Linked DNA regions of Xenopus tropicalis. Each later gene encodes a partner of the first gene's protein in a complex. Links are inferred from orthologs where the notes say so. Each region holds a gene or a part of one and is shown in the gene's direction. Other genes may lie near its edges. The genes, in order: ppp1ca, mras, wdr82, phactr1, rb1, ppp1r7 and tox4.

Region 1 (2,509 bases):
TAACGGGGCCCCCCCTCCCCAGTTCCTGACTGGCCTGTTCCTCCCCCCCTACAGTTAAAGGCTGCCGCCCTGGGAAGAATGTTCAGCTGACGGAGAATGAGATCCGGGGGCTGTGCCTGAAGTCCCGCGAGATCTTCCTCAGCCAGCCAATCCTGTTGGAGCTGGAGGCCCCGCTGAAGATCTGCGGTGAGTAGGGCCCTGGGTGCCGAGGCTCCGCCTCTGTGTGTAGCTGCGGATCTGATTGGCTTCCCTCTCCTCCCCCCAGGGGATGTGCACGGTCAGTACTACGACCTGCTGCGCCTGTTTGAGTATGGGGGCTTCCCCCCCGAGAGTAACTACCTGTTCCTGGGGGATTACGTGGATCGGGGGAAGCAGTCGCTGGAGACCATCTGCCTGCTGCTCGCCTACAAGATCAAGTACCCCGAGAACTTCTTCCTGCTGCGCGGGAACCACGAGTGCGCCAGCATCAACCGCATCTACGGCTTCTACGATGAGTGTACGCGGGGGCGGGGCCAGGCTGTAACCCACGGTAACCAGTGCGCTCCCTAATGCCCTCTGTCTCCCCCTGCAGGTAAGCGGCGCTACAACATTAAGCTGTGGAAAACCTTCACCGACTGCTTCAACTGCCTGCCCGTGGCCGCCATCGTGGATGAGAAGATCTTCTGCTGCCACGGGGGTGAGTTCCCTGCTGCCCCCATCCCTCAGGGCTCGTCTGGGCAGCCCAAATGGGGTGAATACACACCCCACACCTTCTTAGCCAGTGTGCCCCCCCCCCGGGAGCCCCAAACCTTATACTGTACAGCCAGTGTGCCCCCCCCCGGGAGCCCCACACCTTCTTATACTGTACAGCCAGTGTGCCCCCCCCCCCGGGAGCCCCACACCTTCTTGTACTGTACAGCCAGTGTGCCCCCCCCGGGAGCCCCACACCTTCTTATACTGCACAGCCGGTGTGCCCCCCCCCGGGAGCCCCACACCTTCTTGTACTGTACAGCCAGTGTGCTCCCCCCGGGAACCCCACACCTTCTTATACTGTACAGCCAGTGTGCCCCCCCCGGGAGCCCCACACCTTCTTGTACTGTACAGCCAGTGTGCCCCCCCCCCCGGGAGCCCCACACCTTCTTGTACTGTACAGCCAGTGTGCCCCCCCCGGGAGCCCCAAACCTTATACTGTACAGCCAGTGTGCCCCCACCGGGAGCCCCAAACCTTATACTGTACAGCCAGTGTGCCCCCCCCCGGGAGCCCCAAACCTTATACTGTACAGCCAGTGTGCCCCCCCGGGAACCCCACACCTTATACTGTACAGCCAGTGTTCCCCCCCCCGGGAGCCCCACACCTTATACTGTACAGCCGGTGTGCCCCCCCGGGAGCCCCACATCATCTTATACTGTACAGCCAGTGTGCCCCCCCGGGAACCCCACACCTTCTTATACTGTACAGCCAGTGTGCCCCCCCATGGAGCCCCACACCTTCTTGTACTGTACAGCCAGTGTGCCCCCCCGGGAACCCCACACCTTCTTATACTGTACAGCTAGTGTGCCCCCCCATGGAGCCCCACACCTTCTTATACTGTACAGCCAGTGTGCCCCCCGGGAACCCCACACCTTCTTATACTGTACAGCCAGTGTGCCCCCCCCATGGAGCCCACACCTTCTTGTATTGTACAGCCAGTGTGCCCCCCCGGGAACCCCACACCTTCTTATACTGTACAGCTAGTGTGCCCCCCCATGGAGCCCCACACCTTCTTGTATTGTACAGCCAGTGTGCCCCCCCGGGAACCCCACACCTTCTTATACTGTACAGCTAGTGTGCCCCCCCGGTATACAGTTGTGCCTACTCTGGATCCATCAGAACCTGCCCCCCCCCCCCCCACTCACATCCCCATTTGTGTTTCAGGCCTCTCCCCCGACCTACAGTCCATGGAGCAAGTCAGACGGATCCTGCGTCCCACCGATGTACCGGACCAGGGGCTCCTGTGTGACCTGTTGTGGTCGGACCCGGACAAAGATGTGCTTGGGTGGGGGGAGAACGACCGCGGGGTCTCCTTCACCTTTGGGGCTGATGTAGTAGCAAAATTTCTTCACAAACATGACCTTGACCTCATCTGCCGAGCTCACCAGGTACGTCTGCTCCGCCCATTCCTTACTCCTCTCCCACCCCAGGTATGTCTGCTCCGCCCATTCCCACCCCACGGTACGTCTGCTCCGCCCATTCCTTACTCCTCTCCCACCCCAGGTATGTCTGCTCCGCCCATTCCTTACTCCTCTCCCACCCCAGGTATGTCTGCTCCGCCCATTCCTTACTCCTCTCCCACCCCAGGTACGTCTGCTCCGCCCATTCCTTACTCCTCTCCCACCCCAGGTACGTCTGCTCCGCCCATTCCTTACTCCTCTCCCACCCCAGGTATGTCTGCTCCGCCCATTCCTTACTCCTCTCCCACCCCAGGTATGTCTGCTCCGCCCATTCCCACCCCACGGTACGTCTGCTCCGCCCATTCCTTACTCCTCTCCC
Region 2 (3,987 bases), about 87 Mb from region 1:
CATAGTGTTTCCCTTAGACAGTACAGTATGGGGGTACAGCTTATTGTGTGCCCAGAACATTCCTTCTCTGTATATTTGTATTTATACATATGGGTAGGGGGTGCCATAGTGTTTCCCTTAGACAGTACAGTATGGGGGTACAGCTTATTGTGTGCCCAGAACATTCCTTCTCTGTATATTTGTATTTATACATATGGGTAGGGGGTGCCATAGTGTTTCCCTTAGACAGTACAGTATGGGGGTACAGCTTATTGTGTGCCCAGAACATTCCTTCCCTGTATATTTGTATTTATACATATGGGTAGGAGGTGCCATAGTGTTTCCCTTAGCGCTACACAGGGACCAACCATGACCCCTCTCTGGAATTCTAATGGCCCAGCTGTAGATTTAGCAACTATTAGTTTCATGTTCCTAATCAGAGGGTCCATTGAGAGCCACTTATTACTGAGAGACAGTTATAGAGAGATCCATTGGCCAAGCCATTACAATTTAGACAAGAGAGAGATAATTATGAGTGGTTATGGGATACCTTGCAGTGCTGGGCCGCTGAGGCTGCTGGGACATGATGACATGAGAGACAGAGCCAGTGACGCCGGAGCCCCGGGCTGTGAGTGTATCAGGGCACCTCTGGGTGCCAGCTGGGTGTCACATGACCTGGCACAGACAGTTGGCCAATCCAATGCGATGCCATAAGGGCAGCCTCACAGTCACTGACAGATGGAACGCTTTCTACAAGGAGTGGTTTCCTTAAGGTGGCCCCTTTCTACATATATGTATCTGCCTTCATGGGGCCAACTGAAGTCTGGCATTTTGATGGTGTTAGATATTAGTATGGGAGGATCATATCTATACGTGTAATCGCATAGTCTGTGTCAGGGTGTCAGACCCAACTCCTGTCACAATGCCGTTCCACCTTAACAGTGACCTACTATTGGTACAGCCCGTGGAACAGTCTATTGTGTGCGAGAGGGGGGATCGCTGTAAGGGGAATACATTGGAAGCTTAGTATGGCCCCCAGCAGGGAGTTAGTGGCACATTATTGGATTATAAACCTTACGGTGGGTGTAGGGGTTCATTTCGGGGGGTGTCTCCCACAGGTGAGGCCGGGGGCTTGCGTGGGGAGGGAGAGGCACCCCCGCGTACCATCTATTTTTAGCAGCAGCTGTTGCAATATAAAGAGTGGGAAGCGGAGGGGAGGCGGCATTGCTCTGTGGAGGCTGCGGGATCGCTGCTCACCTGGTACCTGCCATGAGTCTGTGCCCTGCTTAGTCCGGCCCGGAGGCCTCCGCTCAGGTATTTCTCTAGGGCAGTGCCAACTGGGGGGGGGGGTCGCTTTGATCCAGGGGGAACTTCAGAAACCCCAAAGGCAGACAGGGCTGGCTCTCCCCCCCCATACCCACTGTATGTACCCCAAACCCACTGTATGTACCCCAAACCCACTGTGTGTACCCCATACCCACTGTATGTACCCCATACCCACTGTGTACCCCAAACCCACTGTGTGTACCCCAAACCCACTGTATGTACCCCAAACCCACTGTGTGTACCCCATACCCACTGTATGTACCCCAAACCCACTGTATGTACCCCAAACCCACTGTGTGTACCCCATACCCACTGTGTGTACCCCAAACCCACTGTATGTACCCCAAACCCACTGTGTGTACCCCATACCCACTGTGTGTACCCCAAACCCACTGTATGTACCCCAAACCCACTGTGTGTACCCCATACCCACTGTGTGTACCCCATACCCACTGTGTGTACCCCAAACCCACTGTATGTACCCCAAACCCACTGTGTGTACCCCAAACCCACTGTATGTGCCCCAAACCCACTGTGTGTACCCCAAACCCACTGTGTGTACCCCATACCCACTGTGTGTACCCCAAACCCACTGTGTGTACCCCATACCCACTGTGTGTACCCCAAACCCACTGTATGTACCCCAAACCCACTGTATGTACCCCAAACCCACTGTATGTACCCCATACCCACTGTGTGTACCCCATACCCACTGTGTGTACCCCAAACCCACTGTGTGTACCCCATACCCACTGTGTGTACCCCAAACCCACTGTGTGTACCCCAAACCCACTGAATAGAGCATTCTGTGACTATATGTACCCCAAACCCACTGTATGTACCCCAAACCCACTGTATGTACCCCATACCCACTGTGTGTACCCCATACCCACTGAATAGAGCATTCTGTGACTGTATGTACCCCAAACCCACTGTGTGTACCCCAAACCCACTGAATAGAGCATTCTGTGACTGTATGTACCCCAAACCCACTGTATGTACCCCAAACCCACTGTGTGTACCCCAAACCCACTGAATAGAGCATTCTGTGACTGTATGTACCCCAAACCCACTGTATGTACCCCAAACCCACTGTATGTACCCCATACCCACTGTATGTACCCCAAACCCACTGAATAGCCATTTAGTGACTGTATGTACCCCATACCCACTGTATGTACCCCAAACCCACTGTATGTACCCCAAACCCACTGAATAGCCATTTAGTGACTGTATGTACCCCAAACCCACTGTATGTACCCCATACCCACTGTATGTACCCCAAACCCACTGAATAGAGCATTTAGTGACTGTATGTACCCCATACCCACTGATTAGCCATTTAGTGACTGTATGTACCCCAAACCCACTGTATGTACCCCATACCCACTGAATAGAGCATTTAGTGACTGTATGTACCCCATACCCACTGAATAGAGCATTTAGTGACTGTATGTACCCCAAACCCACAGTATGAACCCCACAGGGATTGTAAGGACCCTTAGCCCAGTGTTTATACCCAGACCCAGTGTGTGCACCCCAAACCAACTGTGTGCACCCCAAACTCATAGTATGAACCTCATTAGGATTTTAGGTATCCATAGCCCACTGTGTTCACCCCAAACCCACTGTGAGCACCCTAAACTCATAGTATGACCCTCATAAGGATTTTAGGTATCCATAGCCCATTTTGTGCACCCCAAACCCACTGTGTGTACCCCAAATTCACAGTATGAACCCTACAGTGATTTTAAGCACCCCTACTAAAAACCTGCTGTATGTGCCCCCCAAATATGTTGAATGGTATTTACCCCAAAGATACTGTATGTACTCCCATACCCATTGCATATACCCCACAGTCACTGGTTGTAACCTGAACCCTCTGTACCCCAAACCCACTTTCTGTGCCTAGCAGGGACTGTGCCAGTCTGCACCCAAAGGGCACGCATGTACTGTACCCCCACGTGTGTGTGTGTGTGTGTGTGTGCATATATATATATATATATATCAGTAATAGGGAGGGGGTAAAGCTTTGGGTCTGGATCTGCCTTTATTGGGTTCTGTGTACAGCCCAGTAACACTCCTTACACAGTATCAGCGGTACCACTACATGCCTGTTACATGGAAGTCTCACAGGGTGTAACGTGTGTGTATAGTAGGTACAATGTGTATGGTGGGGCAAGTAACACTGTGTATTAGAGCTCTGCACTCACCAGGCACCTACCCTTAGCCATCAGCCCCTCTGTGGGAGTTGGGAGTTGTCTCCTCTCCACTATAAACCCCATTCCCTATATAATCCACTCACTACATGGGCTAATTAGAGGCATGGCTGCGCGGAATCCAGTGTAGTCTTCAGCATGAATCTTAATGGTGTACTAATTAGGCAGAGTGAATGCTGTGGATGGGGGGCGGGGCATGTCCCACCGGTACAGTGTGACATCATGAGAAATTGACGTGACATCACTATGACACAGGTGGCAGTCACTGCTGGTTCTGACTGTGTCACTAAGCGTTGGGCTTTGTCAGGTGATGTCCGTTCAAGTCTGTGATAGGTCGTTTTGGGCACCTTGGTGCTGCAGGTTGTGTCCCCAGAGTTGTACTCACGGGCTGTTCTTTATTAGCCAAACTATAACTCCCAGCACCCTTCCTTATACTTGTGTGTATTGTATGGCATGGCCTGTG
Region 3 (3,194 bases), on another chromosome or scaffold:
GGGAAACTTATCTTAATGTCAACCAATGGAGGCTTCCTTCGTCTGGTTGATGCTTTTAAGGGGGCTGTTATGCACACGTTTGGGGTGAGTAATTTTTTTTTTCATTAAAATGGCCTGAACAGGTAGAGCCCTTATGACTTCTTGTCATTAAACTTACTGCTGTGGAATATATTTGCACTTTATGATGAATACGTTACTAAATAACAAACTTATAATGAATTTTTTATTAGGGCTACAACAATAGTAAGGCTGTCACCCTGGAAGCTACCTTCACTCCAGATTCCCAGTTTATTATGATCGGTAAGTTAGAAGAAAACATTTATTAATATCCCAACTATTGTGCAATATCCACTCCTCTCACTGGTTCATCTCAATCTCTGTAGGCTCAGAAGATGGCAAAATTCATGTTTGGAATTGTGAGAGTGGTATGAAAGTAGCAGTGCTGGATGGCAAACACACAGGTCCTATCACATGCCTACAGTTCAACCCCAAGTTCATGACGTTTACTAGTGCTTGCTCAAACATGGTAAGCACAATCATATTCTTTGGTTGTTATAACTGGCACTTTATACAGCTATTGTTGCATTATCAAGTTATTAATGTCTTCTTGTAGGCTATGAAGTCCCAAAGTATACAGTTTGTGGCTAGCTTTAGAATCTATGAAAATCCTGTGGATAATTGATTCTAACAATCTTACATTGCAGGCTTTTTGGCTACCAACTATTGATGACTGATGCATACAGAGAAGCTGGCATTTGTAAAAATCCCATTCTTCAGCTATTTTCCACAAATAAATCTTCACAATGCCCGGATATATGAAGAACAAGAAAATGGTTATTTTTTTTATTCTTCCATAAAAATACCCCAGTATTGAGCCAACATTTCTCTTTGCCAAAATAAGAACTGTTCTTCGGTACATATCAAGATTTATGAACTTCTGTTTTTTACCTTCATGTACTGGGCACTTATTTTGTGGAATGGTGTATATATTTTTGTCATGTTTCTCCTGACGAACCTGTATTTGAGACACATGCTACCAATCTCTCTTTTTATATCCTTTATATACGCTTCCATCTGTATTTGTTCTTTGGAGCAGGATTTAAATGTTCACTATGGTAAGAATCCACACCAACCTTGTTACACCAGATATTACACCAGAGGTAGATTTCATGGTGGATGACGCACTAAATAACCGGCTAAACCAGATTCTATTTAGATACCCTCTCTGTCCAGAGTTAAAGGCTGGCAAGAAGCTACATCTGTTATTGTTTTGGTTAATTTTAAGAGAAATTTTATTAATGCAGTGCTCCTTCCTTATAGGCTCTCTCTCCACACCTGTAGTTACTGCCACAAGTATTACACAGATGTGCATCAAATCTACACAGACATATTCCTATAACACAATCCCATGTTACCAGAAACAGCAATTTTGACTCCTTCATGCAGTTGATTTAAACTGGAATTGCTTTATATCATTTATTATTGATTTCTGTGTTTCCTTTGATTGTTGAGAGATGCTGGATGTGTTTAATAGCCAACGGGCCGCAGGTTAAGCATTGTCCATCTGTTTTCTATTTCAAGTCAGTACTGGTAGCTTTGTGGGGAATTTGCTTATTAGTGCTGCCCCAATTTGTTTAGATCAGGATTATGATTCTTTCATTAATTGGTTAATCTATTTGGTAATATAATTCATAAGTAGCAGAACAGTATATATTGCTCTCATATTCTGTAAGCAGCATTATTAAACGGGCATTATTAAACTGGCACTAGTATTAAGAACTGCCTGGGTTGGCATCCACACTACCAGCACTGCATTGGCCTGGCTGGCATAGGACAAGTAGCTTCTTTCTTGCCCACAGACAATCGTAGCTAGCTGAAAGTGAAATACGTAGGTTAAAGGGCAATCCATATATACCACTGAATTCAGCTTTTAAGAAAACATTATGTGGTTAATAACCTTGTTAATAGAGGACCCAGGAAAAGTCTGGGATCTGTTTTGTGACCACAAATTGGTTGGAAATCAAATATACACTTCATTTTAATTACTTTCTGTTGTTCATTATCTTAAAATGAGTCACATAAACATACCAAAAGCAGCATTGGGTTCTTAACCATAGATTAACAGTTCCTGTTGGGGGAATGGTGATATTGTTTGCCTCGGTAAAATCACTCTACATAGACTAAAAAATAGCACAATCTAGGAGTCCTAGTTAATGTTGGTTTGCTATCAGTATAATAGCGTTATGTTTTATTTATATAATAAAAAGAAGCCCCAAACTGTCATCTTAAATTAAAATTAATGCAATACCCTATTTGGAAACTAGGTGTGTTTGGCCCTTTAAGATCTTGTGTCAAGTAAGCAGTAGGTGAAAAGATTTTACACTTCAAGGAAATGTGTATTTTACAGCTCCAGAATATGATAGTTTATTTTTAACCACACAGAACCTTTTTAAAAAAAAAAAATAAACAAAAATATTGTATGGTTTCCTCATGTCAAGGAAGCCTCATAAGCAGTATTCAGTATTTCAAAATAAAGATATTCCACAGCATAAAGGATTTATCTCACTGTCTCATATACATTTGAGGATTGTGCATGTAAATAAGAAATGGATTAAACCATTACTGGGGAGCTAAGCAGTGTGCAGCTGTTTCTTGTAAATTATGTTTTTTTACATAAATAAAATATTAAAACAACTATGTACTGTTTTATTTGAGTAATGTGTTTAATATCTTTAATGCCCAATACACAGATGGTAAAAGTGCACTTGACACCAGCATGTCAGAGCACGTTACAATTTGGTATTGTGTCTTAAATAATCAGATTACTCTTTCCCCTTTTAGCAAACCTGTCTCTCTACATGCAGCATTGTCGGTTATTTTGAAAGATAGCTCTTATACATTATCTAGGCAATGGGGGTTATGACCAACGATGTGTTTGACTTAGCTGTCCTTCAAAATCTGTCCTTCAAAATCTCGTGCATGTAGAAAGGCATTGCTAGGAAGGGGATAGTGAAGAGTTATTCAATTATTTCATAAAACTGTGTAAAAGTTTTGATTATATTCAGAATGTTTTATTTCTATGAGATAAAGTTTATATTACAGTTTCACTATAGTTCCCCTGTTATACATTGTGATGGCCTATTAATAACCAACATATTAACTTGATATATAGAGAATGTCCTGCCCTTAAAATA
Region 4 (3,500 bases), on another chromosome or scaffold:
GCAGCCCTATCAGCAAAAAATTATCACCATGACATATAGGTAACTTTTTGTGTAGGTTCATATTTTAAAAATTAGTTTTTTCATGTCAGTATCACTTTAAGGCAGGCACTGTTAGGGGCTCTGTACTTACCTACAGCTTCCCAGTTCCTTGCTGTCCCTGCTGTGGTGCACAACCATAATGGGTGACCTATGCCACTGTGACCCTGCATGGCTGGAAGAAAGCTGTGACATATCAAGTGTGGAATTGTAGAATCTTTCTGCCCTGACCTTGGCTTGTTGTTTGGAATCCTGAAGCCCTCACTTGGCTATGCTTGGTAGCTTTGTCCTTCCATTTAAACCCTTAAAAACTTAGACCAAGTTCGAATAATGCTCACCTCAGGAAGTTCTTTGGGGTTTCAAGGGCTGGCAAGCCATAAAGTAGACTGATTCCAGACTTTTGCATTGGTATATGGAAATGTAACATATGCAGTGCCTTTGTTATAAATTCTTCTGGTATAAGACACTTTGGCCTCTCCTGCAACCCATAGAGATTCCTATCATTTTTCCCACATGAGTAGTAAACCTCAGGTAATTAGCTAGGCTGTGCCTAAGCATTGAAGGTATGTGGACAGTTACTTAGTCTTGCAAAAGAAAAGAAGGAGCCAGCTTTCAAAACATACAGTTTCTGCTCATTGAAAAGATGAAAGAATGGCTTACTTAGTGGACAAGTGGCAGAAGAAGTAGCTAATAGGTAAAGGAAATAGGAGTTGTGTGCAGTCTAAACTCCAATTAGGCTTCAGTGTTTTGGCATTAGAGAAATGTGCAATTATCACACACAAGTTGCAGAATGTAATACTAAAATAAATGGCTAAGTTTGGATTTGCTAATATTGTACATTACTTTCAGCTCGAAATGAGCAAGAGGAACAAGAAGAAAAGCGAGAGATTAAGAGAAGACTGACACGCAAGGTAAATAATGTGCTAAATAGCATTAATGCATATTAATAATCCCCATAAAAGCAGCACAGTGGCAGCTGGCATCATGGCTACTGGTAAGAAAGTCCAATATCACAGCAGTTAGATAAATCCTATACATAATAGCAGGTGTAGAAGGAAGGCCAATAAAGAGTTAATCTCAAGCTGCAGGCATACCTTCAGTTCTCTCAATAGTGCCCTTAAGTCATATTTCTCCAGTTCAGATGATCAGAAGCCTCATAGGAAAAAAAACCGCTGAGCTCTGTAAAGAAATTTCCCATAATGCCTCGCTCCTGAACCAAGACCAAGACCGGTGTACATGCGCAGTTTGTAAGACTATGAGGAAGCTTCCTGCTGATTGCCTTAGATCACACATTCCTAAGGGGGGGGGGAGTGAGTTCTTGAGGGAGGGGGGAGCAGGATAGAGGAGAGAGCTGCGTGTCTCTGGCACAGGATAACAAAGAGACAACAAATCCTGTTTTTTTTAGCAGAGAACTCAGTGCAGCGTTTCTGTGAGTGCTTACGGCTGTATTTACATAGACCTTTCTGATAAAGCTTACTTAGTGTTTACCTTTCCTTCTCCTTTATGAATAATAAAAGAAACAAACAAGTTTAGATTGGATTTTTAAAGACTGATTTATTGAAAAATAAAGTATATATTGCTAAAGCCAAATAGGTCAAAGTCTACTAGTAGAAATGTGGGGGTTCAGGTGCACATCCCAAAGACTACAGTTTAAGGTGGTAAACCACAAGCATCTGATCAGGCCCAGATTTGTGGAGAGGCCACAAAGGCCCGGGCCTAGGGCGGCAGAAACCTGGGGGCGGCATGCCGCCCCGCCGCACCAAAATCTAAAAAGTTTTGTACCCATATGGAGCAATGGGGGGACTTCTCCCCACTGCTCCGTATCCAAGTTTGGCCCACTGCGCATGCGCGCACAAGGCGCCCCCCGTTTGCGCACGCAAACCCCTCTCCCCCTGTATCGCGCATGCCCACTCGGGGGGGGGGGATGCGTGCGACCGGGGGCGGCCTCGGGGCGGCCAATTTGGAAATCCGGCCCTGCGTCTGATCATCTTTCCTGAGACCAAAGGTCTCTATCATATGCATTCCATTGTACTAGACCCAGGAAAGGTAAATAATAATTATTAATATGTATTTTTGCAGCTTAGTCAAAGGCCCACAGTGGAAGAACTACGAGAGAAAAAAATCCTTATACGTTTCAGCGATTATGTGGAGGTGGCAGATGCACAGGACTACGATAGAAGAGCAGACAAACCATGGACTCGACTAACAGCCGCTGACAAAGTTTGTGCCTCTTTTTACTCATTATTCAGCATTTACTGAGCTTTTCATTTGGTTAACAAAAAACAATGATATAATAAAAGAGACCACAATATGTTTGCCAAAAATAATTACTGCAAATTAGTTAAGTGTAAATTTACTAAACTGGCAAGTTGCATTTACTATTCTGCTATTTGAAGGCAAATAGAATGGGGAGGATAAAAATTTTACTGCTTACAATTCCTTAATTTCCACATTTGAACGCATTATGGGGTGTATTTATTGACATGTTGGCCATAGCAATCAATCAGAACTTTGCTTTTTTTTCTAACTTGTAGGTTACTGTCCAAATCTAATTGCTGATTGGTTGCTATGACCAACATCACCAGTGATATTTGGCTCCAATGTTAACACTCCCCCATGTGTGGAGACATATTGAAACAATACCACTTACACAATTGTCTACTGTTTATATTTATAACAGGCAGCTATTCGTAAAGAACTTAATGAGTTCAAAAGTACAGAAATGGAAGTCCATGAATTAAGTAGGCATTTAACAAGGTAAGTAAAAGTCATCTTCTTGTGTTTTATTGTCTCACAGTCTTAATGTTTATGTTACAATGAGTCTATTTTCAGTGGTGACCAAACAATGGGGAGTTGGAGCAAGATACACAAGTTAAACTGGCCATACAGTATAAGATCTGCTTATTTGGTGAGGTAGCCAAATAAGCTATGCCCCGATATGCCAACGTAAAATGGGCCTTATCGTTCTAATTTAATCGTTTTCCCTAGGGCCAAATTATCACATTACAGTGAAGGGAATTAGAGCCATCGGGGAGAGGACTGCATCAATAAATTGTTGAGGTGCTCAATCCAGCGGGAAAATCAAGCTTGCCCAATTAACATCTGGTCTTTTTTCGGGCAGATATTGTTCAGATAGTACCATCAGAGGACCCCATACATGGGCAGATAAACTACTGAATCAGTCTGAATCGGTCTGAATCAGCAGCTTAAATCTGCCTGCGTATGGCCATCTTTATTATCACCCATATCAATGGCATGACAGTCCTGTATATCCTGGGTTTTAATCTTGCTGTACTGTGTGTTACCAGTGAACACAATGTCGATCAAAGAGTAAACCATAAATGTAAGTTCTCTCTAGCATCAACATTTAGGTACCTGAAAGCTGTCATAATTTTTGTTTTACAGAAAAACATTTGGTTAATGGTGCAGATGCTTAGATAGAAAATACTAATATTATATAGCTG
Region 5 (3,500 bases), on another chromosome or scaffold:
GGAATGTGACTTAACTTTCAGATTCTGATTTTGTATTTTTTTTTTTTTTTAAGTTCTTGCACTTATTAAAATAATAGGAAAAAACGTATGTTCAGCACAAGCCCTAATTATTGAACCCATGGTGACATACTGCTCCTTTAAGTAAACCCAATGTAGAGATAGGGGGTATTTACAGTAAAGGAAGTCCCTATATTTCCTGTATCGAAGTAGGAGAATATTATTGCAAGTATATACGTTATACATTAAAGGATAAATGTTTCCAGAAATAATCAGAAGATTAGAAACAGATACATGAGATTGTTTTGCAGTTTTATGTATCTTACAGCACCCAGCCATTCACATTGAGAAAAAATGCCTAATGTTACAGCCTGTGGTATGAGATAAAAGCAGTTCCGTTTCCTTTGAAAACAAACTATTTGCTCTTATTTCAAAGAGACTTGGTGACTGGGGATTCTGTTAACAAATAGTCCAAAAAAAACTTTGACACATGCAGCTCTACAACTGTTAAGGCATCATTCTGACATGTCCTTCTTTTGTCTAGTCCTGCTAAATCATGTACCAACTATTTCTGTTATTGGCTTCCATGAATGTTCCTGCTGATCTACACAATCTAATAGATAGGACACTGCAGTGAGGTTCTCTATGCCAAATCATGATCACACACTGCGAATACTATGTGAGGCTTGCTGTAACATTACATATGAACCACAGAGGTGAGACCAGCACTGAATAAGAGGCACCAACCTAGAGGCTAAATGCAGGTGCATCTTGGCCACATTCATTATGCCGCTTACGCTTGGTCTAAAAGTGTGTGAACAACTTCAAAAAATAGGCTGAACATTGATGTTTTGGGCTTCTGTATCTCAGAAGCCGGCATGGAATAACTTTGCCTAAATACACAAATATATTTTGCTTGAATACTATACCAGTATTACATGCATCAAGTATCTAATACAATGGTGTTTTGGCAAAAAAATTGTGTCTGCAAGTAAACAAGATGGTAGATATCCAGTTATAAATTAAAGGACAAGGAAAGGCAAAGTCACTTGGGGGTGCCAAAATGTTAGGCACCCCCAAGTGACTTAAATCGCTTACCTTGTACCCCAGGCTGGTGCCCCTGTTAGGAGAAAACAGCCCAGGGTACCTGTATGGGTGCGCTTCCTCCTTCGTTTTGGAAGGACTAACGACAGACGCATGTGCAGTAGAGTGAAAAGCAGACTTCTCGCGACCTTCGTGTGCGCAACCGAAGACGGAAGGAGGAAGCGCTGCAGCTACCCCAGGCTGGTGCTGTTTTCTCCTAACAGGGGCAACAGCCCGGGGTACAAGGTAAGCGATTTAAGTCACTTGGGGGTGCCTAACATTTTGGCACCCCCAAGTGACTTAGCCTTCCCTTGTCCTTTATGTTTTATTTATGGGAAGCAGGAAAAGAAGCGAAATATTATTATTACTAACACATATTTATAAAACGCTAACATATTCTGCAGTGCTGTACAGTAAATGGGTGTATACATTGAGCATACATTAAATACGTGTATACATTGAACATGCAAGATTACATACCAACAACTGATTCAAGAGGTAAAGAGGATTCTGCCCAAAAGAGCTTACAATCTAAAAAATATACACAATATTAAAAATGTAACAGATTAAATACAACAACAACCAACAACTGATTCAAGAGATAAAGAGGGTTCTGCTCAAAAGAGCTTACAATAAAAAAAAAATAAACACAATAAAACAGGCCTGGACTGGGATTCAAAATAGGCCCTGGCATTTCAAGTACACAGAGACCCACATCTTACAGCAGCCCCTCTGGAATTTGAGTCCACAGATTGCCAGTTCAGGCCTGCTTGCACATACACCAGTGCTTACAGTCACACAAATTTCCCCGCACTGCAGCAGAACCAATCTCACACTATAGTATCAAAATGTACAGTGCTGCATAAATACATACATACATACATACAGACAGTTTTATACAAATTTATACATACAGACAGACAAATTTAAGGGCAATGTCACATGGTGCTATTTGTAGCCTGTGTTTTGTCGTAGCTACACAACACCAGCAAAAACCCTGCCATAGACAGTACTGGGAATTGTCTCTGCTAAAACATTCAAATTGTGTAAATGCTCAAAAGTTCATACAAAGGCATTTTTAAATATTTTCTGGCGCTTTGTAAGTGGCAACAAAACGCAGCCTGTCATTGCCCTAAAGGACAAGTTGTTAGGCACCCCCAGAGACTTTAATCTCATACCTGATACTCCTGGCTGGCACTTGCCTGGGTAGTTTACAATACTTGGCTCATGCAAAAATAAATGTGTCTATTTGTGATGAGGTGATCATTAATGTATTAATTGGTTAGAGTTTTGCATTACTTTTCTTGTTTTGGGGTGGGGGGGGGGCGGCGAAGACCCAAAGTAATTAATGAACCCATGTATATTTTTGTGTTTTTTGTTCTGTAATGTTTAGGTATCTCTCACCTTCAAGATCATCCCATCAATGTCCTGTAACTAGTGTGCGCACCTCATCTGTTACTAATGGGCAGGTTTCACCCTCACAACCAGTTCAGCAGAAATCAACCTCACTGTCACTCTTTTACAAAAAAGGTATGATTTTTGGTTTTGTTTTAATGCACGGCACTTATTGGGGTAAAGAATATTACAGAAGGTACTACATTTGAAAACGATCGCTTTAAAGGAGAATGATAATGATAACAAAATGATTATTAAAAGTATTGTTTGGAATATAAATTTATTCCTAAAGCCCCAGAATTTTTCACAGAGCATGAGAGGCCTCTGCAACTGAGATTTTAAAGCTTTAGTCTCAATCCACTCCAATGAATATCACGTTTGTGCAAAATATATATATAAACCAAAAATGTTGTATTGCCGTGACAGTATTATCTTTATTTTTTTGTGGTAATTGCTGTTCCTGTTTTAATCTAGTGTATCTTTTGGCATATAAGCGGCTTAGCAGTCTCTGTTCCAGCCTTCTCTCTGACCATCCGGAACTTGAACAGGTGATCTGGACACTTTTACAGCACACACTACAGCATGAATATGAACTTATGCGTGACAGACATTTAGACCAGGTACTGTATTAATATATTTATTGTTTTGTCACACTCCATGATTACTTATAATTAATTTGCAGAGAAGAAAAGGGCATGTGTTTCCTTGTTCATTGTTAAAGTATAGGTAATGCATTCTACCTGGAGTTGTATAATAAGACCTAACAATAATTAAATAAAATAATTTTTTTTTTATTGTTTAGATAAAACCATAAGCAGAATACATTTTCATTACAAGCCCTATTTAGTTGGCCCATGCTCTACATACACAATATTACCAAAATGATCTTGCCACCTACTTGTCTACCATTAAAAGTATTGTTAGTATACATGAGCATTCTTAATTTTTGTGCAGAAAGAGGAATCAAGTAATTCTCCCGAGTGTATACCATAGTGCTAAGGTTTGTTTTTTTACTGGGGCCCTAA
Region 6 (4,132 bases), on another chromosome or scaffold:
AATAAGGCCTGCGATTGGCTATTTGGTAGCCCCTATTTGGCCTGGAAGCCTACATGAGGCTCTGTTTGGCAGTTCATCTGAGTTTTATGCCACCAAAACTTGCCTCCAAGCCAGGAATTTAAAAATAAGCACCTGCTTTGAGGCCACTGGGAGCAACATGTTGCTCACGGGCCAATGGTTAGGGATCACTGCTTTAGCGCATGGGCCTTTTGCCAATAATTACCACCTACCAACCATAGATAGCATACTTGATGTAAATGCCTGGCTCCAGTTCGGAAAACAGTTTTAGAATCTTTTTCTGATAACTAAAGAAGAGAGAATAGATAATTAGAACTGATGCCTGCATAAAATCACTGGAATTTTAGAATTAAATGCAGCTAATAGTCATTATCTGTTTTACAGCCAAAAAGTGGTTACATACGCTGATGAGAGGAGGCTATACTGTACATACTTGCTTTTGATGTAGCACCCCCTTGAGGGGGAACATATATAAAAAACAAGAGGCTTTAGGATGTGTGCTTTTATATAGTCATGGAATCGAATTACAAGGACAGGTAAAGGAGCCATCAGAGCTAGGGCAGCACCAGTGAGCCGATGGAAAAATCAAACCTGCTCGATTGACACCTGACCAATTTTCTGCCAGATATTGGTTGGGGAGGCCAATCAGGGATCACCATATATGGGCAGAAAAGCTGCCGAATCAGTCTGAAGAACTTGAATTGGCAGCTTGAATCTACATTTATAATATCCTTATATTTTACAGTAAAGGGTGCATTATTAAATATATATTGCTTAAAGGCTATCAGACATACATCCATTATACTCACAGGGGCTCATTTAACAACATGGGGCAGATTTACATCTGAACAGTAACACATAGCAACCATTCAATGATTAGCTTTTTCTTTCAGTTGGCTGCAGGTAGACCAATAACAGCAACAATTTGATTTGCAGCAATGGGTTACTGCCCAGGAGCAAGTTTGCAGTGTTGGTAAATGTTAGATAAATATCTTATAACCCTTTATAACCATCACCTCCAGCCACCCCCTGGAGACTCTGTAATGGAAGCACTCAGGAAGCACTAGTCAAACGCTCACTTACATCAAACATTGTATATGAGGTTACAGGATGGGCAATCTGTCTCCTAGAGCAAACACAGCATGTACCTACGTTGTACAGCGGCAGCGCTCTATGAATAGCCGTACAGCCTAGCAACCCAAGCGCACCTACTCAAGGGATGCGGAGTCTCCAACCCTACCCTGATTGGCTGGGCGTTTCCTTTCGCCGCTACTGATTGGTTCTACTTTATGCTTCCGGAAAGTAGAGGAAGAAGAAATAATGGCGGATGAAGAAGGCGAGACTGAAGTGCAAGAGATGGAAGGTAGGATTCCCAGTACTGTTCCTCTCCTTGTGTTCTCAGTGTTCCTAATGGGCTAATACACCATGCACTGCGTTTCCATATTAGCCATGTAAGTGTTATGTTCGGCAAAGTAGGGGTGACTGAGGCGGGGGATCTCAGGTGAATAGGGAATGGTTGCCTAAGCTCGGGGTGACAGCCCTGAAGGAGTCCTAAGTATGACTAGTTCTCTCCTCCGTGTCTTGTAGCCAAGAAAGGGTTAACGCTGGGCATGTCAGGAAGGGCCGATGTGTAGGATGTGGTGGAACGCAGAGGGGCCCCTTGGCTCGATCAGTGGCTGGCACTGTCACACACACCGGGGGGGGGGGGGGGGGGGTTAGGGGGAGAGCCAGGGACACATGAGCCATATGCATAGTTACGTTACCAAATAATTTTTAAAAATCATGGCTACTCCTAATAAACATAACACCTACCTATCATGCAGGATTCTCACATGACGTGGTAACCTTCTCTACATGGAAGGAGTGTGATAATTCCATAAAGCAGATAGTATAGTGTCTTGGCATGTAAGCAGGAACTGCCATTGCACCCAAGCCAGTGTGGGTACAGATTTCTTTTGCACAAATAGTGTAAAGATTTTTACACATCAGTTGTCAGTCACGTGCTGTTGAAAAGGAGTCGCGTCATTCAAAGTCAATTTCCCCTTTAAATGCAACATTAGCTTTCTGGACATAAATTCTTAAGGTAAACATTTGCAACTTTGTTGACTGCCGGCATGGGGTAAGACTACAGTCTTTTGCAGTGGACAGAAGAGAATCTGATGAGTCTGCTGATGATGAAGCAAAGGAAAAGCCAGATCGTGTGGATGGAGGGGTGAAGAATGGTGAAGTGCCACTAGGTAATTCTATATCTTTCTCATAATAGTTCATTGGTTGTGTAGTTATGATATGTCAGGCATAGGCATTGTTTGCAGCATGGGACATATTTTAGACCAGTGATTCTCCACCGCTGGAAATGTCCAAAACTGCCTGTGCCATCTGTCATTAAATTTCATGGCAACCGCCTGTCACCACTGGTACAAGACTTTGGCCATAACACATTGGCTGTTCCAGCAGTTAAGGTCGCTTGCAGTACACTCAATATCACAGGTGGTTTCATGCATTTCTCCTTAACCCTTTTCCTGATTTTGTTCTTTGGCCTGTGCCACACCGCATGTTGCCAATAAACACACTGCATGGTGTAGATCAATTAATGTCCCAGCAACTTAAAGGGCACCAGCCTGTCAAAAAATACTGTAAAATAGACTATATATGTCCTTTAATAGTGGCTGGCTTACTTGTTGGTTTTTACATACAGCTGCAATAACATGCCATTCACATATGGGCTTGTGTCAATCCCAGTATTTGACATATTTGCTGTAATTAAAGTGCACGTTGTATTTCATAAGTTTATCATTCTGACTGAGACCTTTATGTTCAGGAGAGGCAGATGCACCAGTGGATATAGAGACCATTAACTTGGACCCTGAAGCCGAGGTATTAACAGCATTCTTTTCTGTTTCTTTAATATATCATCGGTGGGGCATGGAATTGTTGTTGGAAACAGCGGTTTTTAAATTTAAGCTCTGTGTAAATAGCTGCAGAAAAGCAGTAGAGTTTGTTTTATGATAATGGACTAGCCCGATTCCCCCTGGACTAGTACTACTTCTGTCATCTTATTTGCCTGATATTTAATGTGATTTTTTTTTTTTTTTTTTATGGTTTCTCCAGGATGTTGACCTGAACCATTTTAAAATAGGAAAGATTCAAGGCTTTGAGGTGCTCAAGAAAGTCAAGGTAAATGATTAAATATGAAAAAAATATAGTGCTTATGTTGTACTTAATGTGTATTATCCTGTCAAGGAAATTATATCATATTGTAATACTTTACACTGAATCTGTCCCAGTGTTCTGTTTTTAATTTAAAAGGAAGTATTTTTCTCCTAAAAATATGCACTATGCTAGGTTTTGAGGTTCCATTTATTATGCCCGAGTTCATCCGGAATTTCATGTACACAAAGGCCCCAAACAGCAACCTGCCAGCCAAGCAAGTTCTATACATTCCTCAGTACTAGGGACCCGTTAACCTTAGCATCTCCCATCATGACTCATAAATGTGGTGGCTTAATAAATGGTGCCACACCCTAAATAATATATTTATAGCAGATTTTTAAAAGATCCATAGAAAGAAGAAAGTTAGTTTTCTGACCATTGTTCTGTTATTAAATCTGTAGACTCTCTGTCTGCGCCAGAACCTGATAAAGCTGATTGAAAATCTGGAGCAATTGGTAACACTGACTGAGCTGGACTTGTATGACAATCAGATCCGCAAGATAGGGAACCTGGAAACCCTGAGAGATCTCCAGTAAGCAATGTCAAACTATGTCTATTAAGCTGTTCTTAAATTAGTTGATCACTTATATACACACATATAATTTTATCTGAGTGTTTGGTAAATCTGACCACAGTTGGTCAAAAGCCAAGCTTTCCATTGACCTCATTCAGAGTTCAGTAAGAGAAATTACTTTGATTGTGTTGCCTTTCATTCTTCTCTTGCAGAATCCTGGACCTCTCTTTCAACCTCCTGAGACGCATTGAAGGATTGGAGTCATTGTCTCACCTGCAGCGCCTTTACCTTGTGAATAACAAGATCAGCCGCATTGAAAACTTTGGAACCCTAACGCAGCTCCGCTTGTTGGAACTGGGCTCTAACCGGCTGCGGGTGAGTGTATGGGAA
Region 7 (3,931 bases), on another chromosome or scaffold:
AAAGTTAAACTGTAGGAAATACGGCTCTTAATGTAATAAAATGCATTGTATTGCATTATCACTAACATGAAATATGTGCACTCTTTCTGATTATTCATGGAGAAAATATGGGGCTCTGGCAACTCAGCTTTAAAACTACCCATCACTGTTATAAGTGATACACAAATTGCAATGTGCCTCTATAATATTTAATGATGTGGCTCCTAACATTACCTGTATAAATACAAAGATATATACATATACACAAATCTGTAATTGCATACAAATTTGAAAAACATCTGCAAAACAGAACACCAAGAGCTGCTATTTAAAAATAATATATTATTGTACATAAACTCGGAATATTCTCATTTTATGCTAGCATATGCATGATTTTATATTTAATACACAAAATAAAATTAAAAAGCATCAAGGTTACAAGAGCATAATAATAGCACCCAATATTCGTAAACCGATAGATAAAATCATTTAAAATACGTACGCACCTGTATCACCAATAATGATATACTTGAAGAGGTAGGCATACGACATGATGGCAATCGTCAGAGCCACCAAGGCAGGTGATTACGGGGAGGAGGCTTCCTTTGAACTGCCTTACTCTAACTAGAGCTCCCAGAGAGACGTTCTTGCCACGCAGTCTCATCTCTATTGCTTCCGGAAAAGACTCTCTATCTGGTGTACGGCTTGTAGCGACGTTCTTTACTAAGCCGGATGTTCGCTCTTTTGTATTCGATACGTGTAGCATTCTAATGAATAGTCTCTATGGCTGCCTCACATCCTATTGTTATACTATAGGAGGAATGAGTAGCAGCATTACTGTACCAATATGGCTTCGCTGCTTTTACCGGAAGCGGATGTCTCGCCATCTTTGTAGAGGCGGGGAAGTGTGCTTGAAAAGAAGAAGAGTCTCAGGCCGTGAAAATGGAGGTGAGTTGGGTAAATTACGTATTTTATTGTGTTAGTTTCGGTTTTAACGCGGTATACAGCTAGTTTGATTCCGTATGCGTGTTGGTGGTGATTTTCAAAACGCAGATTATGTGGGCCATTAGAGCAGGTTAATGAAGTGGCGAGAAGGGAACTATAGTTCCTGCGGATCAAACACAGAAAACGTGTAGCATTTAAAGATCGTACAATGTAGTTGTTATTATGTCGCGGTGCGTCAAGTATCTCTAATCCCCTGGTGCCAATACTTATAGTTTCTTCAGAACGTGTTGTGTTGGGGGTTTCGTTTCAGTGGTAACAGGTTCCTGTCAATTGAATATTTATATTGGCTATGGGGTTGTGGATAAGTAATGTGTTTCTTTGAGAGTGATGTGCCTGATAGAAGACTTGCATTCCTTGTACTGTGAATTGAAATTACTATTATTATTTGTATCTGTGGTGAAACAGCTTGTTTACTGCCAGCATTAACATGGAAGCTTCTATTTGTTATTGTCTGTGTCACTAATAGTAAAATGTTATAGAGATGAATGCTGTTATTCAGAAGCCAGAGAAGGGTCATTTGTGGTTTATTTACTTTTATATGGCAAGATGCTGTAATAGATCAGTTACATGTTCTTTCTTCACTCACTGGACAGTGGTTGTTTGAGTTTCTTAGTTCATGCATGAGATCTAACTTGGCCAGAGCGCCCCTTAGTTCATAATAAGGTTACAGATACATGAAAGCAAAGGAGCCCCCCCCCTCTGCAGCAGCAGCCTCAGAAGTGTTTGCATAATTAGCAGCAATGTTTCTGTGATTAATAAAATATTGCTTTTATATAATTATTGAATGCTGTAACAGTTGTCATTGTAACTTGTTTTAATAGGAGGCAGTGCAGCATTTTATTTCACAGGAAAATTCTTTGGTCTTTTCATACAAGCAGAGTGCTAACCATTGATCAGAGCAAAAATATAGAGAAATTATACCTTTAGTTAGCTAACTTAGACATGAAGTGAAAAATGGAATAAAGAAAAGGGTGTGATCAATTTAAAGGGGAATCTCTCCAACTTTTGTTGCATAATGAAAGATGTTAAACATTTCACTATACATTAATTAAACATTTTCAATTAATTTAAAGCTATTTGTAAATGTAATTACAATTGAAAGCAAAAGCAGCAGTGCAGAAAACAGACAGATTCTGCTTTTAATAGCAAGTACTTTGTAAATAACTCTGATGTGATTCATAATGCGTATTTAAAAATTGCTTTTGTTGTTCCAAAAAAGGGTGACTTCCCTTAAAATACAATTTTTTTTTTTCCCTCAAGTTAATGCAGTGAAGTATGAGAGCACTTAGGCTCCTGCCACACGGGGTGGATTCTCTGCTTGCACACAGAGTGGATTTCCACACGTAACTGCATACTTGCAGTTTTTGTAGGGAAATCCGGTGCCTGTGGACTGATGCGATTACAGGTGCATGCACGTCCATAAGCTTCTTGAAGCGTACGGGCGAATTCTCTGCCTCTGCCATTTATCTGCAGGCTAAGAAGCCGCCCTGTAGTGACCAAAAAGTGTATTTTTGGTCATGGGAAAAGATAAGGGGTCTTTCTGTAATTTGGGTCTCTATACCGTAAGCCTACTAAAAATAATTTAAATATTAAATAAACCCTATAGGATTGTTTTGCCTCCAATAAGGATTAATTATATCTTAGTAAGGAACAAGTACAAGGTACTGTTTTATTGTTACAGAGAAAAATGAAATAATTCTAATTTTTAAAAATGATTTGCTCATAATGCAGTCTGTGAGATGGCCTTCACGTAATTTGGAACTTTCTACATAACGGGTTTCTGTATAAAAGATCCCATGTATCTGCCCTCTTGTTATGAGCTGAGGGGTCCTGGCTAAATGTTAGACCACAAAATGAAAAAATTTAAGAATTTGCATGATTTGAGGATCAATAGACTTTGTGTTGGTGATGCCTCTTTCCTTCGGGAGAAAAAACCTTGTTGTGGTTTGCCTGTTTCGTGAACTGAGTGCCTATCTTTGTGTTGGCTTTGTGGTTTTGTTTGGCACCATGAAATTGGGACCTACCATTGAGTGCTTAACGCCTCAGATAGACCAGCGGTCCTTAGTGTCACATAATTATGGGGCACATTCATGAAAACGTGAGTTCGAATCCCAAATGGGATAAATTCGGATTGGATACGATCATTTCTGAAGATCGCAAATATCACAAATATGCTTACGGAAAAATCATATTAGTCATGATAATATCGTATTGGCAATTCGAAAGTCACGAAATTTTCGTACTGAGCGATTGTAAACAGCAGGAAAATTAGATGAAAATATGCTCAGAGCGTTTGAATGAACGCTCCGAGCGTTTGTGTCTTGGTAAATCTGCCCCTATGTATTTACCTGATCTTTGCATTACACAGCTTGCATTAATGTTGTGCTCCTCAAAACATAGACTGTTTCATTCAACTATAATGTAGGCTTCATATGGTTTGCAAATTGTGGTGTTTGTTGTTGGGTGTTGTGTTACTAGGTAGTGAAAGGTTTTGCTTCCCACAGACTCATCAGAATCTAACCTGTAGCTTTCTTGCTGTGCAACTCTCAACCTTTCTTCAGTCATTAGCTTTGGGATAGTTGATGCTATAGTTCAATCTGTGCTTGAGGTCATTATCCCTTGTGTAACTGAAGTGTTGTGTGCTCTGTAGGGGGCTAGCTCTTCGACTCATGGACCTACACCTATTTTCTGGTTTGGACACAGATGGCAGTGATGGGGGCCTCCCTGGCCACCACATGCTATTTACAGGAGATGAGGGAGCTCCATGCTCCATTGATATGCCAGGTTTGCTCCACTCTCAGCCTCTCTATGGAGTGTATGGGTATAGCAAGGTGAGACACACTAACAAAATGTGGGTGCTACAGCATTGCTAAGATGTATTATATAAGATTGTTTTATTCTATATGTAAAAAGTATTAGTATTATTAAATGCATGTTTTAAGTGCTC

Evidence for each region.
Region 2: the proteins of ppp1ca (region 1) and mras are in contact, whole or in part, in a crystal structure (PDB 7TXH), measured with the Homo sapiens proteins. The link is inferred for Xenopus tropicalis from reciprocal best matches to the Homo sapiens genes PPP1CA and MRAS. Residues at the interface, in NP_002699.1 of Homo sapiens: Pro178, Asp179, Gln181, Gln185, Arg188, Ile189, Met190, Pro192, Thr193, Pro196, Asp197, Gln198, Trp216, Gly217, Glu218, Phe225; in NP_001078518.1 of Homo sapiens: Val6, Pro7, Ile31, Gln35, Lys36, Ile37, Val39, Asp48, Ser49, Tyr50, Leu51, Lys52, His53.
Region 3: ppp1ca (region 1) and wdr82 share a complex: the UniProt entries of both Homo sapiens proteins name them as parts of the PNUTS-PP1 phosphatase complex. The link is inferred for Xenopus tropicalis from reciprocal best matches to the Homo sapiens genes PPP1CA and WDR82.
Region 4: the proteins of ppp1ca (region 1) and phactr1 are in contact, whole or in part, in a crystal structure (PDB 6ZEG), measured with the Homo sapiens proteins. The link is inferred for Xenopus tropicalis from reciprocal best matches to the Homo sapiens genes PPP1CA and PHACTR1. Residues at the interface, in NP_002699.1 of Homo sapiens: Pro24, Arg43, Gln68, Tyr70, Asp71, Arg74, Tyr78, Arg96, Gly97, Lys98, Ala128, Ser129, Arg132, Ile133, Tyr134, Gly135, Tyr137, Asp138, Trp149, Lys150, Thr153, Asp154, Asn157, Lys168, Ile169, Met190, Arg191, Pro192, Thr193, Asp194; in NP_001309240.1 of Homo sapiens: Arg424, Lys425, Ile426, Leu427, Ile428, Arg429, Phe430, Ser431, Asp432, Tyr433, Val434, Glu435, Val436, Ala437, Asp438, Ala439, Gln440, Tyr442, Asp443, Arg444, Arg445, Ala446, Lys448, Pro449, Trp450, Leu453, Lys458, Ile461, Arg462, Glu464.
Region 5: the proteins of ppp1ca (region 1) and rb1 are in contact, whole or in part, in a crystal structure (PDB 3N5U), measured with the Homo sapiens proteins. The link is inferred for Xenopus tropicalis from reciprocal best matches to the Homo sapiens genes PPP1CA and RB1. Residues at the interface, in NP_002699.1 of Homo sapiens: Lys168, Ile169, Asp242, Leu243, Phe257, Arg261, Met283, Thr288, Leu289, Met290, Cys291, Ser292, Phe293; in NP_000312.2 of Homo sapiens: Lys873, Lys874, Leu875, Arg876, Phe877, Asp878, Ile879.
Region 6: the proteins of ppp1ca (region 1) and ppp1r7 are in contact, whole or in part, in a crystal structure (PDB 8U5G), measured with the Homo sapiens proteins. The link is inferred for Xenopus tropicalis from reciprocal best matches to the Homo sapiens genes PPP1CA and PPP1R7. Residues at the interface, in NP_002699.1 of Homo sapiens: Arg23, Pro24, Leu40, Arg43, Arg96, Gly97, Lys98, Ala128, Ser129, Ile130, Asn131, Arg132, Ile133, Tyr134, Gly135, Tyr137, Asp138, Lys141, Arg142, Ile146, Lys147, Trp149, Lys150, Asp154, Asn157, Pro192, Thr193, Asp194, Asn271, Cys273; in NP_002703.1 of Homo sapiens: Asn84, His85, Tyr86, Arg87, Arg106, Gln107, Leu109, Tyr128, Asp129, Gln131, Asp148, Ser150, Phe151, Phe170, Val172, Glu192, Gly194, Ser195, Phe214, Gly216, Lys217, Ser236, Gln238, Ser239, Tyr258, His261, Ser283, Glu300, Trp302, Asn304.
Region 7: ppp1ca (region 1) and tox4 share a complex: the UniProt entries of both Homo sapiens proteins name them as parts of the PNUTS-PP1 phosphatase complex. The link is inferred for Xenopus tropicalis from reciprocal best matches to the Homo sapiens genes PPP1CA and TOX4.

Annotation. Positions count from the first base shown.
Region 1 is NC_030685.2:492,457-494,965, forward strand, and holds part of ppp1ca (protein phosphatase 1, catalytic subunit, alpha isozyme), read left to right. Parts: intron 1-54; coding exon 55-186; intron 187-265; coding exon 266-496; intron 497-571; coding exon 572-676; intron 677-1,894; coding exon 1,895-2,118; intron 2,119-2,509. UniProt on the Homo sapiens protein: Protein phosphatase that associates with over 200 regulatory proteins to form highly specific holoenzymes which dephosphorylate hundreds of biological targets.
Region 2 is NC_030685.2:87,979,977-87,983,963, forward strand, and holds the start of mras (ras-related protein M-Ras), read left to right. Parts: upstream 1-1,187; 5' UTR 1,188-1,293; intron 1,294-3,987. UniProt on the Homo sapiens protein: Signal transducer in the Ras-MAPK signaling pathway that regulates cell proliferation and survival. Core component of the SHOC2-MRAS-PP1c (SMP) holophosphatase complex that regulates the MAPK pathway activation.
Region 3 is NC_030680.2:128,235,988-128,239,181, forward strand, and holds the end of wdr82 (WD repeat-containing protein 82), read left to right. Parts: coding exon 1-84; intron 85-230; coding exon 231-300; intron 301-383; coding exon 384-526; intron 527-704; coding exon 705-734; 3' UTR 735-2,694; downstream 2,695-3,194. UniProt on the Homo sapiens protein: Regulatory component of the SET1/COMPASS complex implicated in the tethering of this complex to transcriptional start sites of active genes.
Region 4 is NC_030682.2:91,700,389-91,703,888, forward strand, and holds part of phactr1 (phosphatase and actin regulator 1), read left to right. Parts: intron 1-885; coding exon 886-947; intron 948-2,115; coding exon 2,116-2,256; intron 2,257-2,716; coding exon 2,717-2,793; intron 2,794-3,500. UniProt on the Homo sapiens protein: Binds actin monomers (G actin) and plays a role in multiple processes including the regulation of actin cytoskeleton dynamics, actin stress fibers formation, cell motility and survival, formation of tubules by endothelial cells, and regulation of PPP1CA activity.
Region 5 is NC_030678.2:135,009,316-135,012,815, forward strand, and holds part of rb1 (retinoblastoma-associated protein), read left to right. Parts: intron 1-2,473; coding exon 2,474-2,610; intron 2,611-2,949; coding exon 2,950-3,095; intron 3,096-3,500. UniProt on the Homo sapiens protein: Tumor suppressor that is a key regulator of the G1/S transition of the cell cycle. The hypophosphorylated form binds transcription regulators of the E2F family, preventing transcription of E2F-responsive genes.
Region 6 is NC_030681.2:125,950,176-125,954,307, reverse strand, and holds the start of ppp1r7 (protein phosphatase 1 regulatory subunit 7), read left to right. Parts: upstream 1-1,332; 5' UTR 1,333-1,338; coding exon 1,339-1,381; intron 1,382-2,159; coding exon 2,160-2,255; intron 2,256-2,836; coding exon 2,837-2,892; intron 2,893-3,126; coding exon 3,127-3,192; intron 3,193-3,629; coding exon 3,630-3,760; intron 3,761-3,954; coding exon 3,955-4,117; intron 4,118-4,132. Other genes in the region: pask (PAS domain-containing serine/threonine-protein kinase), read right to left, coding at 231-246. UniProt on the Homo sapiens protein: Regulatory subunit of protein phosphatase 1.
Region 7 is NC_030677.2:141,990,591-141,994,521, reverse strand, and holds the start of tox4 (TOX high mobility group box family member 4), read left to right. Parts: upstream 1-1,131; 5' UTR 1,132-1,146; coding exon 1,147-1,154; intron 1,155-3,634; coding exon 3,635-3,815; intron 3,816-3,931. Other genes in the region: rab2b (ras-related protein Rab-2B), read right to left, coding at 486-531. UniProt on the Homo sapiens protein: Transcription factor that modulates cell fate reprogramming from the somatic state to the pluripotent and neuronal fate. In liver, controls the expression of hormone-regulated gluconeogenic genes such as G6PC1 and PCK1.